Macaca mulatta: one gene and its partner. The protein of the gene in region 2 purifies or fractionates together with the protein of the main gene of each other region. This does not show direct contact. Links are inferred from orthologs where the notes say so. Each region holds a gene or a part of one and is shown on either strand. Other genes may lie near its edges.

The links.
Region 1: the proteins of TEFM (region 2) and KBTBD7 purify together in Homo sapiens (co-immunoprecipitation; 5 studies listed by BioGRID and IntAct, counting the BioPlex papers as one, with this or other methods). This does not show direct contact. The link is inferred for Macaca mulatta from reciprocal best matches to the Homo sapiens genes TEFM and KBTBD7.

What each region holds. Positions count from the first base shown.
Region 1 is NC_133422.1:20,613,285-20,619,986, forward strand, and holds the start of KBTBD7 (kelch repeat and BTB domain-containing protein 7), read right to left. Parts: upstream 3,666-6,702; 5' UTR 3,357-3,665; coding exon 1,299-3,356; 3' UTR 1-1,298. UniProt on the Homo sapiens protein: As part of the CUL3(KBTBD6/7) E3 ubiquitin ligase complex functions as a substrate adapter for the RAC1 guanine exchange factor (GEF) TIAM1, mediating its 'Lys-48' ubiquitination and proteasomal degradation.
Region 2 is NC_133421.1:41,585,477-41,592,008, forward strand, and holds the start of TEFM (transcription elongation factor, mitochondrial), read right to left. Parts: upstream 4,440-6,532; 5' UTR 4,398-4,439; coding exon 4,367-4,397; intron 2,828-4,366; coding exon 2,364-2,827; intron 1-2,363. UniProt on the Homo sapiens protein: Transcription elongation factor which increases mitochondrial RNA polymerase processivity. Regulates transcription of the mitochondrial genome, including genes important for the oxidative phosphorylation machinery.

The DNA of each region.
Region 1 (6,702 bases), on a different chromosome or scaffold from region 2:
ACCCCGTTATTCACTTAGGTTCTTAAATGTCAACTTTTAATACAAAAATACCTTCAAGCTGATAAGAACATTCACAGTGACTTACAAAATGGACAATATTCCAATGCTACACAAAACAGTTTTATAATACACAGCTTAAAGTTTTAAAGTTCTTGGCTGGCACTTGATTTTTTTTTATAGCTGATAGACATGATAACTACTGATCTGAATAAAATACCATTTTTAGCTTATATATATGTTCTAAACCATATTACCTCACAAAACAGTAAAGAATAAATCACTTTCTGATGGAGAATCCTCTAGGACAAACACCAAACCTATACAGCCAAAATATTTTAGGGAGGCAAATAAACATTTTAAGACAAGTCATGACCAGTGGATAAAAATTTGCATTACCCAATTATATGTCTAGGAATTGTTCTTCTGCGTCAATAAAGCATGTATTGGGCATAGATTAAAAATACAAACGTAAAAAGCAAGTTACCTTTTTTTTTGGTTTAGAAGGGTGTTTAATTCATGACATTACTAGAATGGGTGTTTTTTGGGAAAGAAAATTGGTCACATATACCAAATACACATTTTATATTCCAAAATAAAAACAGATTTATTTTAAAACAGTGGAATCCTTATTTTTATTTACTTATTTTTTACTTTCTGTGAGCTTGTGAGGCCATTCTGCACATTTATCAAAATGAAATCATTATTCAGTAACCTTTTTATATATATATATATATATATATATGCAATTTTTTTTCCTTTGTAGAAAACCAAAATAATTTTACAAACTATATTTAACTTAGAATATAAAGAACTGACTAGTGTAAAATTTTGAAAATCTACCACTTTATTTTGAAGGAAAGTATACATCCTTCAAAACTCCACCAACAATTCCTAGTCCAGTTTTCTATTGTACAGATTAAAAAGTTAAATTCCTTGTGGCACTAACCAAAACTTAAAAATTAACAGAAGACTGAATTAATTAAAAAAAAAAAAGCATACTAACTAATCAAAACAATCCACTGTGCAATGAATATTTGAACAATGAAAAAAACCTACCAAGCATCCCAGTCAATTACATAGTTCTTGCTTCCATATTTTAATTTTGGACTTTCAGGAAGGTATATTATTAAACAGGTCGATTTTGTGGACTGTTTAAACCTTGTAGTATTTCAAAATATTACCCTTTCTAAACCAAATCTGTGGTCCTGGTCAACTTTTTTTTTTTCAAGAAAAAGAAAGGATATGTGTTTAAAATACATTCCGTAGCAGTAGAAACATCTTAGTGTCTCAAAATCTATTTACAAAGAACCCTGCTGATCCTGTGCATTTCGCTGAGGTGCTACTTGCACCCAGACTTCATCATCTGAAAAAGAACTTGAACTTCCTGACTCAGAGTCCAGCTCACTGAATCCATCTAAGTCCCATTCAGTACTAGACTCACTCCGTGCATCATCTTCCTCAGTAATAAAACTCTGACCAGGTTCAAGGCAGGAAGGATAAACACGGGCACAAAGGCAAATAAAGCCAGAGTCAAACTGCAAAAGGCCTAACATAGTACCTATATTAATCCACTGATCTTCCCTAGTATCATACTCATACACTGTTACTCGGTTCTTTTTCCATTGTGGGGTTGTAGAAGTGATGAGAAGCAACTTTCGGTCATGATTGACAATCTGGTAGTTGTGGGTCTCTGAATCCAAAGGAATATTACTAATCCGCCTCCATTCTCCCCTAGCTGGGTTGTAGACCTTCATGACTGGGATGTCACAGATACAATAGATTTCATCATTGAAAACACATGCTTCCTGAAAGTCACTGCGTTTAAGAGAAGCACAGTTCAGCCACATATTGTGGCTAGGATCATAGCAGAGCATGCGCTTACTGTTGACAGCATAAAGATAGTTCTGAACCACTATGAGTTCAAAGGAATAGAAGGAATGAGGGACAGGAGCCACCAATGCCCACTGGTTTCTCTGAACACTGTAGCATTCCACTTCCTTCAACTTAACTCCAGTAATAGGGTCTCGCCCCCCCAAAATGTAGATGTAGCCATTGAGATATGCCACATCCATGCCCTCACGACACAGCAAGCGATCTGCAAGTTGCTGCCAACTATTCTGAGCTGGTTTATACACCCAGAGGTCTTTCCTTGGCTGGGCAGCTAGATAGATGTCATGGTCTGGGGAGACACAGACAGCTGAGGAGGTAACAGTCTTAGTGTGAGCAAAGCTGGTCAAAGGTGATGGCATTGTGTAAATGTCCCCTGAGTAAGGGTCATAGCAGAGAAAGGGATCTCTGGGGTGTCCAAAGAAGATCACCATCTCCTTGGCACACATACCCAGTCTCTGGGGTGGATTTTCTGCTGCAGATACAAGAGAGTTGCTGCTGCTACTGCTGCTGCTGCTGCTGTTTGGCACTGGCACCAGAGACTTGTACAACAGGTCACCATAGCGCATCTGCAGGGCCCCTTCAATAACGTCCAGGCAGTACTTCTTCACAATGGGCTTGGTCAGCAGCCCTTCTAAGTAGTCCTGATCTTCTTCAGTGAAGTGCATCCAGCGCACGCACTTGAAGACTTCCGCAGCACTGGGACCCCGCTCCTTGGGAGCAGCCTCCAGCCACTGCACAGCTACATGGCATACAGTCCGCTCACTCTCTATGTCCAGACTATCCAAGCGCAGGACAGCCAGCAGCTGGGCCAGGGTCAGATCTGCTAGAGTCTCTTCCCGAATTGAACCCATTCGGCTGAGCTGCTTGAAGTTCTGAGCTATATAGGACTGGGCCTGAGATCGAAGCTTGTGATGGTCGAAGGCGTCTGCAAACTTGAGGATGGCGGTGCAGTTGGTCAGGTCAAGACGTCGGGCTAAGAAGGAGGCACAGGCTTCCCGCACATACTCCAGTTGCAGCATGTCGGAGGCTGCGTACAGGCGCTGCACATTGGCCTCGCTGAGAGACACACGACCCGTGTAGCAGTAGTCGACCAACACCTCGAAGGACTCGGCGTCCACATCGTGCATGGTCACGCTGGCCTGCTGGCTCTCGTACATGCCACCTGTGAACATGCTCTTGAAGTAGGGACACGCAGCTGCTAGCACGTTGCGATTGCAGGAAAAGAGGCGACCCGTGCCAGGCCCGCTGCCAGGCGTCACCACCTCGATGGTCACATCACACAGCAGCCGCGCGTCGTAGAAAGACTTGAGCTGTGCCAGCAGGGCTGCAGAATGGGCCGTGTCCTTTAATTCCTCTGGACCCGTGAAAAAGGCCGAAACCGAGGGCTTGGAAATCCTCTTGGGCCGCCTCCCACCGCGGGGGCTGGCGAGGCGGCGAGAGCGCGGGGCGTCTTCCCGGGACTGCATGGTGGAGATGGCGACGGGCGCTGATAGCGAGAAAGGCTGCCGGACCCGGCTCTGGCTCCTCCTCAACCTTCCCTCGCAGACGCTAAGACAAGCCGCGTCCTGGAACAGACTGCGGCACGGGCCGCACTTCTGAATTCAGCCCTAGCCCGCGGTGAGGCCTCCCTTTATTGCGTAGACAGTGGCTGACTCACCCTCTCTCACTCCCGCGCCCTTTCTCCGCCTCCGCTCGCCCTCACAGGACCCGCTGGCTTGGAGCCGCGGAAGGCCCCACTGCCGCGCTGGCGATCCCGCTAGGCGCCCAGGAGAACTACCGCTTCCAGGTTGCCTTTCGCGCCCCGAGGCCTGCTGGGGCTCTCGGACGGCCGGGCGGGGACAGAGGGAAAGAAACCGCTTTGCATGTTGGGAGTAGTAGTTTGTGTAATATCGCGAGCTTTCCTTTCGCTGACTGCCCTAACAGTAGAAATTAATTCTGGATATGATGGTGAAGTGACGATGTCTCACTATTGTTGTCCAGGCTGGTCTTGAACTCCTGAGGGCTCAAATTATCCTCCTGCCTCTGCCTCTCAAAGTGCTGGGATTACAGGCGTGAGCCACCGGGCCCTGCCAGTATTTCATAGGGTTTTGTGTGATTGAATGATACGTTACATAGGATACTTAGATACATATATTTTTTTGGTTAGAAGAACAATAAAGCGTTACCCCGTGCCTAGAATGTAGCCAATAATTGTTAGATTCTCTTTTATAATTTATGATAAATGAGGCACCCACTAATTTGAAACCAAAAAATTTTTAAAATTTTAAAAATTATTTTAAACCGCAAAATTTTACAAAGAACTTAGTTTTTAATTTTTATTCTTTTGAAAGATTTTGAAGGGCATTAACTATTTTCAATGTTAAATGGTACGTATTGGCCTTGTTTAATAAGGATGTCTTAGACGACTAGGTTGAGGTCCTAAAGAACGGTGTTAATAGATGGCCTCAAATATGCAAATCGGGCATATAAAAATAGATTATTTGCTACTCTCACTAACATTTCATCTCTGGGGAGCAGGAATATTTTCATTAAGCTCCAAATATGAGTGTTTTCAAGTCGTCTAATACAGCCTCTTTCACTGCCATTCCACATATCAATTAACAGATTCTGTAATTGCCTTTATTAAGGAGTTTTAGGGAGTATTTAACTCAAAATATTTCAAGAAACAGACTTTGTTCTGTACAAAAGCACGTGATTCTCAGAATTCAGCATTAGTACATGCCCTGACATTCCTTGAATTAACATACAGTATAGCCTATGCTTTACAAAAGTCTTTTATATTTGCATTGATCAACAGTTAAATCATCAAAATCAAGTATTAGAGATTTGAGGCAGGAAAATAGGGTCTGGAGGCAGGGAACATAAGGCCGATTCACACTTTAGCTATAACAAGAAATATCCTCTCCATAGGGTGTATGCCGAGTAAATGAGTTTGTAACTTTAATTCATTCTCTTCGTTTACATAGGGTATACACCAAGTAACCAGTGAATCCTCTAGAGGGTATTTAAACCTCCAGGAATTCTGTAACAGGGCCCTTGAGCCCTGTGCTGGGCCTGCGCCCACACTGGAGTGTACTTTCATTTTCAGTACATCTCTGATTTTGTTGTTTCATTCTTTCCTTGCTTTGTTTATGTGTTTCTTCCAATTCTTTGTCCAAAACGCCAAGAACCTGGACACCCTCCACTGGTAACAGATTGACTTTTTCAGATAACTTTTATTACAAAACCAGTGACTGCTCCTGCTGCTAGTTTATATTACCATAACCCAATAAAGAAAATCATCAGTATTATATGCATGTATGGATAACACATTACAAGAGAAAAACTTTCAAATTGTTTTTCTGTTATCAGCTGAAGTCCACTGGAAATCCTCTAGGGTAGACACATTAAATTAAGTCAGCCTCTGGGCTCCAATATCTCCTCTGTAAATAAAAAGAGATGTTAGACATCCCTCAGATACACCAGAGGGAATTAAGTCAGTCATTATTAGTAACAATGATTGTTTTCTCACTTGCAGTGAACAACCAGCTAGGGAAAAAAGCCTTTTTTCTTTTCTTTTCTTTTCTTTTTTTTTTTTTTTTGAGATGGGGTCTCACCCTGTCACCCAGGTTGGAGTGCAGTGGCACCATAATAGCTCACTGCAGCCTCGAACTCCAGGGCTCAAGCAATACTTCGGCTTCAGCCTCCCAAGTAGCTAGGACTGTAGATGCATGCCACCATACCCAGTTAATGTTTTAAAAAAAATTATAGATGGGGTCTCACTATCCTGCCAGCCTAGTCTGGCACTCTTCCTGCCTGAGCCTCTAAGTTGCTGCAATTACAGGCATGAGTCACATGACCAGCACAGGAATGGCCATTTTAAAAAACTTCTTAGAATGTTGGTAAAATACACATAACACTAAATTTAACCATTTAAAATTTTTCAGTGTATAGTTCTTTAGCATTAAATATATTCACACGGTTTTGCAACTATCACAAAACTGAAGCTCTGTACCCATTAAACAATAACTCTCTAGTCCCCCACTTCTGGCAACTGCCATTCTACTCTTTGTCTCTATGAATTTGACTACTCTAGGTACCTCATATAGGCAGTGACTGATTTTTACCTTCCTTATATCTCCTCTTACTGCGTTATTTGCCTTAGGTTACCTGTCACACAATTGAAAATATCTATTAGCCACTATTCCCTAAGGTCTAGATCTATGTGCTGTCCCATAAAACTTGGAAATATTTTATATCTGTGCTGGCTGATACAGTAGCCAGAAGCCACATGTAGCTCTTGAGTACGTGAAATGTGGCTAGTGCAACTGAGGAATTAAATTTAAAATTTTAGAAATACAGCATGATATACCATTGCAATTCAATGAAGAAAGAAAATTCTTTTCAACAAACGTTATTGGAACAACTGGATCAAGAATGTAAGACAAAAAGTTGCCCTTGCCCCTACCTTACACCATAAGCAAAAGATTAATTCAAAATTTCTCTTAATACTAAATGGAAAAGTGGAAACTATAAAGCTTCAAAAAGAAAACATAGGGCCAGGCGCGGTGTGATCCCAGCACTTTGGGAGGCCGAGGTGGGAGGATCACGAGGTCAGCAGATTGAGACCATCCTGGCTAACACAGTGAAACCCCGTCTCTACTAAAAATTCAAAATAATTAGCCGGGCGTGGTGGTGGGCACCTGTAGCCCCAGCTACTTGGCAGGAGAATGGCGTGAACCTGGGAGGCGGAGCTTGCAGTGAGCCGAGATGGTGCCACTGCACTCCAGCCTGGGCGACCGAGTGAGACTCTGTCTCAAAAAAAAAAAAAAA
Region 2 (6,532 bases):
CCATCCGCCTCTGCCTCCCAAAGTGCTGGGATTATGGGGGTGAGCCACTGAGGAGTAATTATTATTAAAAGGTAACGAACAGCAGTTTATAGATAAAGAACCTATACTCATCTCAACACCTAGCCCAAAGTAGGCATTCAAACTCAAGTGTAGCCAGGGTCTGCACTAGATACTAGGAAACAAACGTAACTGTACATTATAAGAAATGCCACCATAAAACTATTGTAGAGAGAAGTGATCAGGGAAGGTTTGCTGGAGAACTAGGAGAATGAGATGGTGCACGGGAAGTTATTTCACCCAGATATTTCACCCAGGAAAGATAGGCTGTTTGACATCTCAAACTCTGGCAGTACAATAAAGACTGAATAGGAAAAGGGCAGAGGACTAGGCAGGTGTCTAAACGTAAGTAACCTGCTTTATCCTGAGTGCTACAGGGGCCACTAAAAAAACAGAATGTTAAGGAATAACATAAGATTTACATTTCAGAAAAATCACTCATGGTGTAAAAGATGGGCTGGAGGGCACTAAAGGTAGGGATCTGTGTTAGGTACCTGTTATAACATGAGAAAGTATTAAGAATTGAAGACAATGACAGAAGGAAAAGAAACAGAGATAGTGGGAACAGAATTAATACATAGGTTTAATGAGGAGTCTAAGAATTCCAGTTTTATATCAGTGACTGAATGGCATCATTAATGATGAAGATGACCCTAGGGAAGGTGGGAAGAAATTTTTTTGTTTTGTTTTGGTTTGTTTTTAATGTATTAAGTTTGGGTTGCCTATAGGGCTTCTACAAGGAGATATATAAGTAATTGAATATCTAGATTTTGCTTCCTATCAAGTATGGGCTGACAATGAAGTACAATGCTATTACCTTTCCCCAACATGGCTCACTTAGTTATATTAACAAACTAATATGTTCTATAGATACAGAGGCAAATAAACAGGAACAATTAGTTCTATTCCCATCTCCCTTTCATTGCTAAGAACTGGATAAATGTCTTAAAGACAAAATAGTATAGATGCCCAAAATACAGACCTCCTATTGGTTCTTTTCTTTAGCTCAGTGACTCTCAAGCTTTAGTGTGCGTAAGCATTACTAAACCAGACTACACACAATACTTTGTGGGCAATCGATTTTCTCTTAAAGGATTTTACTGCATGACTTATGTCTCCATAAAAACTGACTTTAGAATCCAGCCCCCTAAATAAGATGCAACTGCACTATAATCTGGATATAAATAGTTTTGGCCATGAATTTGGATAAGAATCCTCCCTGAAAAGTTTGGTTGAAATATGTTCCAGATCAATTGCAGCAGTTCTACCTGGAGTCCATGAGCGGACTTAACAGAATCTGCCAGTCCTCTGAAACTGCAGTATTCTGTGTATATGTGCTATATCTTTTTCTACAGGAAAAGGGTCCACAGCTTTCATCAGGTTTTCAAAAGTACCCATATTCCTCAAAAACCTGGGAGCCACTGGTCTAGAAAAAAATGGTGCTTATGATTTTTATGAGATAATGATTATCAAGCAATGTTACACAGGACATGAGTTCCTCTAAAGTTTAATATTTGAATGCTGTGTCCAGGCGTAGTGGCTCACACCTGTAATCCCAGCACTTTGGGAGCCCGAGGTGGGTGAATCACGAGGTCAACAGATCGAGACCATCCTGGCCAACGTGGTGAAACCCCGTCTCTACTAAAAATACAAAAATTAGCTGGGTGTGGGGGCGTGTGCCTGTAGTCCCAGCTACTCAGGAGGCTGAGGCAGGAGAATCGCTTGTTCCTGGGAGGTGGAGGTTGTCGTGAGCCAAGATCGTGCCACTGTACTCCAGCCTAGTGACAGCGCAAGACTCCGTCTCAAAAAAAAAAAAAAACAAAAAAAAAACTGTGTCAAATATTTGTAGTACTTATTTTTTTAAGATAATGGAAAAAGAAGTGCTTTTAGAAAGGCCATAACCCATCTTTGCTCCTTAATTTCTCATTAATCCCAACATCACCCTTAGACACAGCCTAGTATCTCCAATGACACTCCTCTTAAATAAGCCTTGCCTAGACCTGCTTCTCAACACTAACTGTTCTTTCTACCTAGAATCCCCTCCTCTCCCAGCCAAAGGATCTCTCCTTTAAGATCTAAATTGAGTTTTTCCAGTAAACTTTCCACAACAGTCACAGCCCATTGTTTTCTCTCCTCTCAACTGCCAATTTACTATCTGTACATCTCATTATTTGGTAGTGACCATATACTTGCCAACTAAACCTGAAGAACCTTGTCTTAGCCACTTCCCAACCCAATGCCCAGAAGACTGCTTTCCAGAGTAGGTTCTCAAATATTAGGCAGTATAGCAGACATGAAGAATATACCTTAAGTCTTTCTCTTTCTATGTCTGGTTTGAGGAGCTTTCTCAGGAACCGGTTTTCCAGTAACTTTCTTTTTTCCCCTCCAGTCTTTGGACAAAGTATGGAGTTACAAACTTGAACTGTACTTTTATACTTAAACAAGGGCACATTCATTAAACTCTCTAAATTCTGAAATCGCCCAAAGTTTTCTCTGTGCTTTACGATATTGATGGACCTTCTTCCACGAAGCAATCTGAAAGCTTCAAGTTCTTTAGTAGATGCTGTATTCAACACATGCAAGATGGAAGCCTGCTGTTCTGAAGAGAAGAGCTTGTCAAGTGCATTTTCAGGCTCCTTTGCATTTTCATCACAAAATGTAACATTGGGAGTAATTTTCTTAGGTGTAGTGGATTTTTTCCGACAGCAGGAATTATGTAAGACCCGGAACAGGGATGACCTCGACGGGGCCAGAAAGCATCTCCACCTCTCTAAAAGGAAAATGTAGCAAAATGTAAGTTGGATGTCCTACTTCCTTTAGTGTTAGTTGCAAGCTTGACTAGATCCTTTGCAAAGTCACAAATACTTTCCCGGAATTTAAGAACTAGTAGAGGACAATATTAAATTGTCCTGGAGAATCATCTTTAAAAGAGGATTAGTTTTTAAACTATATTACATAGAGTTTTAAATACAGCTTTTGTTGTTTCAAGAGATGTCTTCCGATTTTTATGGGTCAGTCCAAAGTTTTACTACCTAGAAAACTGTATTTTACACCCATTAGGAAGAAGGTAGTTGAAATAATTATTCCAACTGCTTAACGTTTTTGATATTTTTAATTTAGAGGAATCTTTTTGTAACTAATATTTCCTGTTAAGGTTTGTCTTAGGCCGGGCGTAGTGGCTCACGCCTATAATCCTGGCACTTTTGGAGCCGAGGTGGGAGGATCACCTGAGGTCGGGAGTTCGAGACCAGCCTGACCAATATGGAGAAACCCTGACTCTACTAAACATACAAAATTAGCCGGGCGTGGTGGCGTATGCCTGTAATCCCAGCTACCTTCAGGAGGCTGAGGCAGGAGAATCGCTTTAACCCGGAAGGCGGAGGTTGCGGTGAGCCCAGATCACACCATTGCATTCCAGTTTGGGCAACATGAGTGTAACTCGTTTCAAAAAAAAAAAAAAAAAAAAGGTTTCTCTTCACTTCCATTTTCACATTTTAGTATCTCATCTGGTGGAACTGAATAAAATTAAATTTTATACGTTTATAAGAAATGTTTCGCCGGGCGCGGTGGCTCAAGCCTGTAATCCCAGCACTTTGGGAGGCCGAGGCGGGCGGATCACAAGGTCAGGAGATCGAGACCACAGTGAAACCCCGTCTCTACTAAAAATACAAAAAATTAGCCGGGCGCGGTGGCGGGCGCCTGTAGTCCTAGCTACTCAGGAGGCTGAGGCAGGAGAATGGCGTGAACCCAGGAGGCGGAGCTTGCAGTGAGCCGAGATCGCGCCACTGCACTCCAGCCTGGGCAACAGCGTGAGACTCCGTCTCAAAAAAAAAAAAAAAAAAAAAAAAAAAAAAAAAAAAAAAGAAATGTTTCAGCTAAGTGGTAGATTTAAGGGCAGTTTTATTTTCTTCCGTACACTTTTCAAGATTTCTACCATGACGTTTTTGCAAGTATGAGAAACACCATACAATGCATAACTTTGTAAAACCAGTGGGAAGTCACTCTAACATCGCAGCCACAGGAAAGTAATGCGGCCAGAGGTAAGCAAGCGGCTGTGAGAATCTGAACCATCCGCCCACTCTGAGGAGCCACCTGTGGAACCTGAGGCCAGGGAAGCACAAATGTTCCGAAAACCGCCCCGTCAACTAGGCTGGGGCTCCAAGAGAGGGGCCTGAACAAGGGACATGAGGGACATGAGGAAGGAAACACTCCAGGTTCCTCCAGAATACCTCCAGCCCTATTCCATTAGCCTCTAGGGTCAGAGGCTAGTGACAGACAGGAAACTACCCCAGTGTGCCAAGCACCCTACCTCCCGCCATGAAGAGGGTAGGGCCGCTCATCTCCAAATTGAGTCAGTAGGTCTGGTCTTCCTCCATTGACTTCCGGTTCCTGCGTGCTGCGCCCAAAAGCGCTCGGCCTGCACTCGGCGGAAAGGTTGTTGTCCAAGCGGCGTTCCGGCGCAAGGCCGGAGATGTGTCCCGCTGAGCAGTGGGTTGTCTGCGTCTGCGCTGCCGGCTTCCGAGCGGGCGCCTGCCGAGGCCCTGGCCCCGGATTCCGAGTCCCGGGCTGGCCGGCAGTCTTCTTCCACTGCACCGGGGAGACGTTCTTGCCCCTCCCGACTCCTGAGAGCCGCTAGGCCGAATCTCCAGGAAGGCAATTCGGAGGCCAGTGTTAGTCTCTAGTGGGCAAAGTCCCTCCTTCGTGGAGACTCCCTGGGTTTCTCGTAGACACTTAGATTGAGGAGCTCCTGTTGGGGCCCAGCCTGTGGCGCCGGGAGCGGGATCTGGTGGGGGCAGCGTAGACAAGGTCCTCAAATAACCTTTTCACCAGATAGACTGGAATAACGGGGAGAGATGCGAAGTGTTTCAGGAGCTCAACAGGGAAACAGGGCAGGCAAGGGATTAGGGAAGGGCGAGGGAGGAGGAGATTGCGTTGGCGCTGGAGCGGTATTCCACTTAGAAGGGATAAAGGGAGATGAATGTGGCGCCGAATTGAGTTTGTCCTTGAATGCTGGGTGGAGCAGTTGAATACTCCACCAGGGAGGAAAATGCCTGAAGTCCCCGAGGTTTATGATTTGCAGAGTCAGACTGGAGATGTGTTTCTAGAAAATTGGCCATATACTGTATACCGAATGTGAGGCTGGATTGGAGGTGAAGAGCCTGGCAGCAAAGAGAAGTTGCCTCTCCTCTTCCCAGGGGAGAGGCAACCGTAAGGATTTTTTTCTTTCTTTTTTTTTTTTTTTTTTGGACAGTCTTGCTCTGTCGCCCAGGCTGGAGTGCAGTGGTGCGATCTCGCTGCAACCTCCGCCTCCCGATTTCAAGCGATTCTCGTGCCTCAGCCTCCCGAGTAGCTGGGATTACAGGCGCGCGCCACCACGCCCGGCTAATTTTTGTATTTTTGGTAGAGACGGGTTTCACCATGTTGGCCAGTTTGGTCTTGACCTCCTGACCTCAGGTGATCCGCCCACGTCGGCCTCCCAAAGTGCTGGGATTACAGGCGTGAGCCACTGCGCCCGGCCAACCGTAGGGAATTGAACCTGGGAGATGTAAGGAGAGTGGAAAGAAACGGATTCTTTCTGGAAGATGGGGAGCCAGTTTTGTGAAAAACGGGGAATTCCAGGAGGGAGGGAAAGGTGATGAGTTTGTGTTTTTATGAGGCAGCAATGGATTGATTGTTTTGTGTCTGGAAGGCAGTGGGGATGTGGGGGAATCATAAGTATTAATAAAATGTGCTGGTTGGGAGCAGTGGCTCGAGTCTGTAATTCCAGCACTTTGGGAGGCCGAGACGGGCTGATCCCTTGAGCTCTCGAGTTCCAGACCATCCTGGGCAACATGGCGAAACCCCGTCTCTACTAAAAAATTAGCCGGGTGTGGTGGAGCATGCCTGTTATCCCAACTACTGAAGAGGCTGAGGTGGGAGAATCACCTGAGCCCGCGAGGTAGAGGTTGCAGTGAGTGGAGATCGTGTCACCACACTCCGGCCTGGGGGACAGAGCCAGACCTTGTCTCAAAAAAAAAAAAAAGAAAAGAAAAAGAAAAGAAATTTTCTCATAGGAAGTCTAGGTACCTTGGCAGTTTCTGGGGAACTTACGAATCTAACAACAAATTACATCAACTTACGAATCTAACAAGAAATTACATCAACTTTTTCTGCAAAATCAGGAGGAAATAATTTCCTCAACTGTAGGGCTTATTCACCTTACTGAGATGTTATGATTGAATTGCATCCCTCAAAACAAATTTGTTGAAGTCCTAATCCCCAGTACCTTATTTTTCCAAATAAGGCCATTGTAGATGTAACTAATTAAAATGAGGACACGCTGGACTGGGGCAGGGACTAATCCAACATGACTGCTGTTCTTATGAGAAGATGGCCCTGTGAATGCCATGTGAAGATGGAAGTGGAGATTGGAATGATGCATCTACAAGCCCAGGAAGACCAAGTGTTGCCAGCAGTCACTAGAAACTAGGAGAGA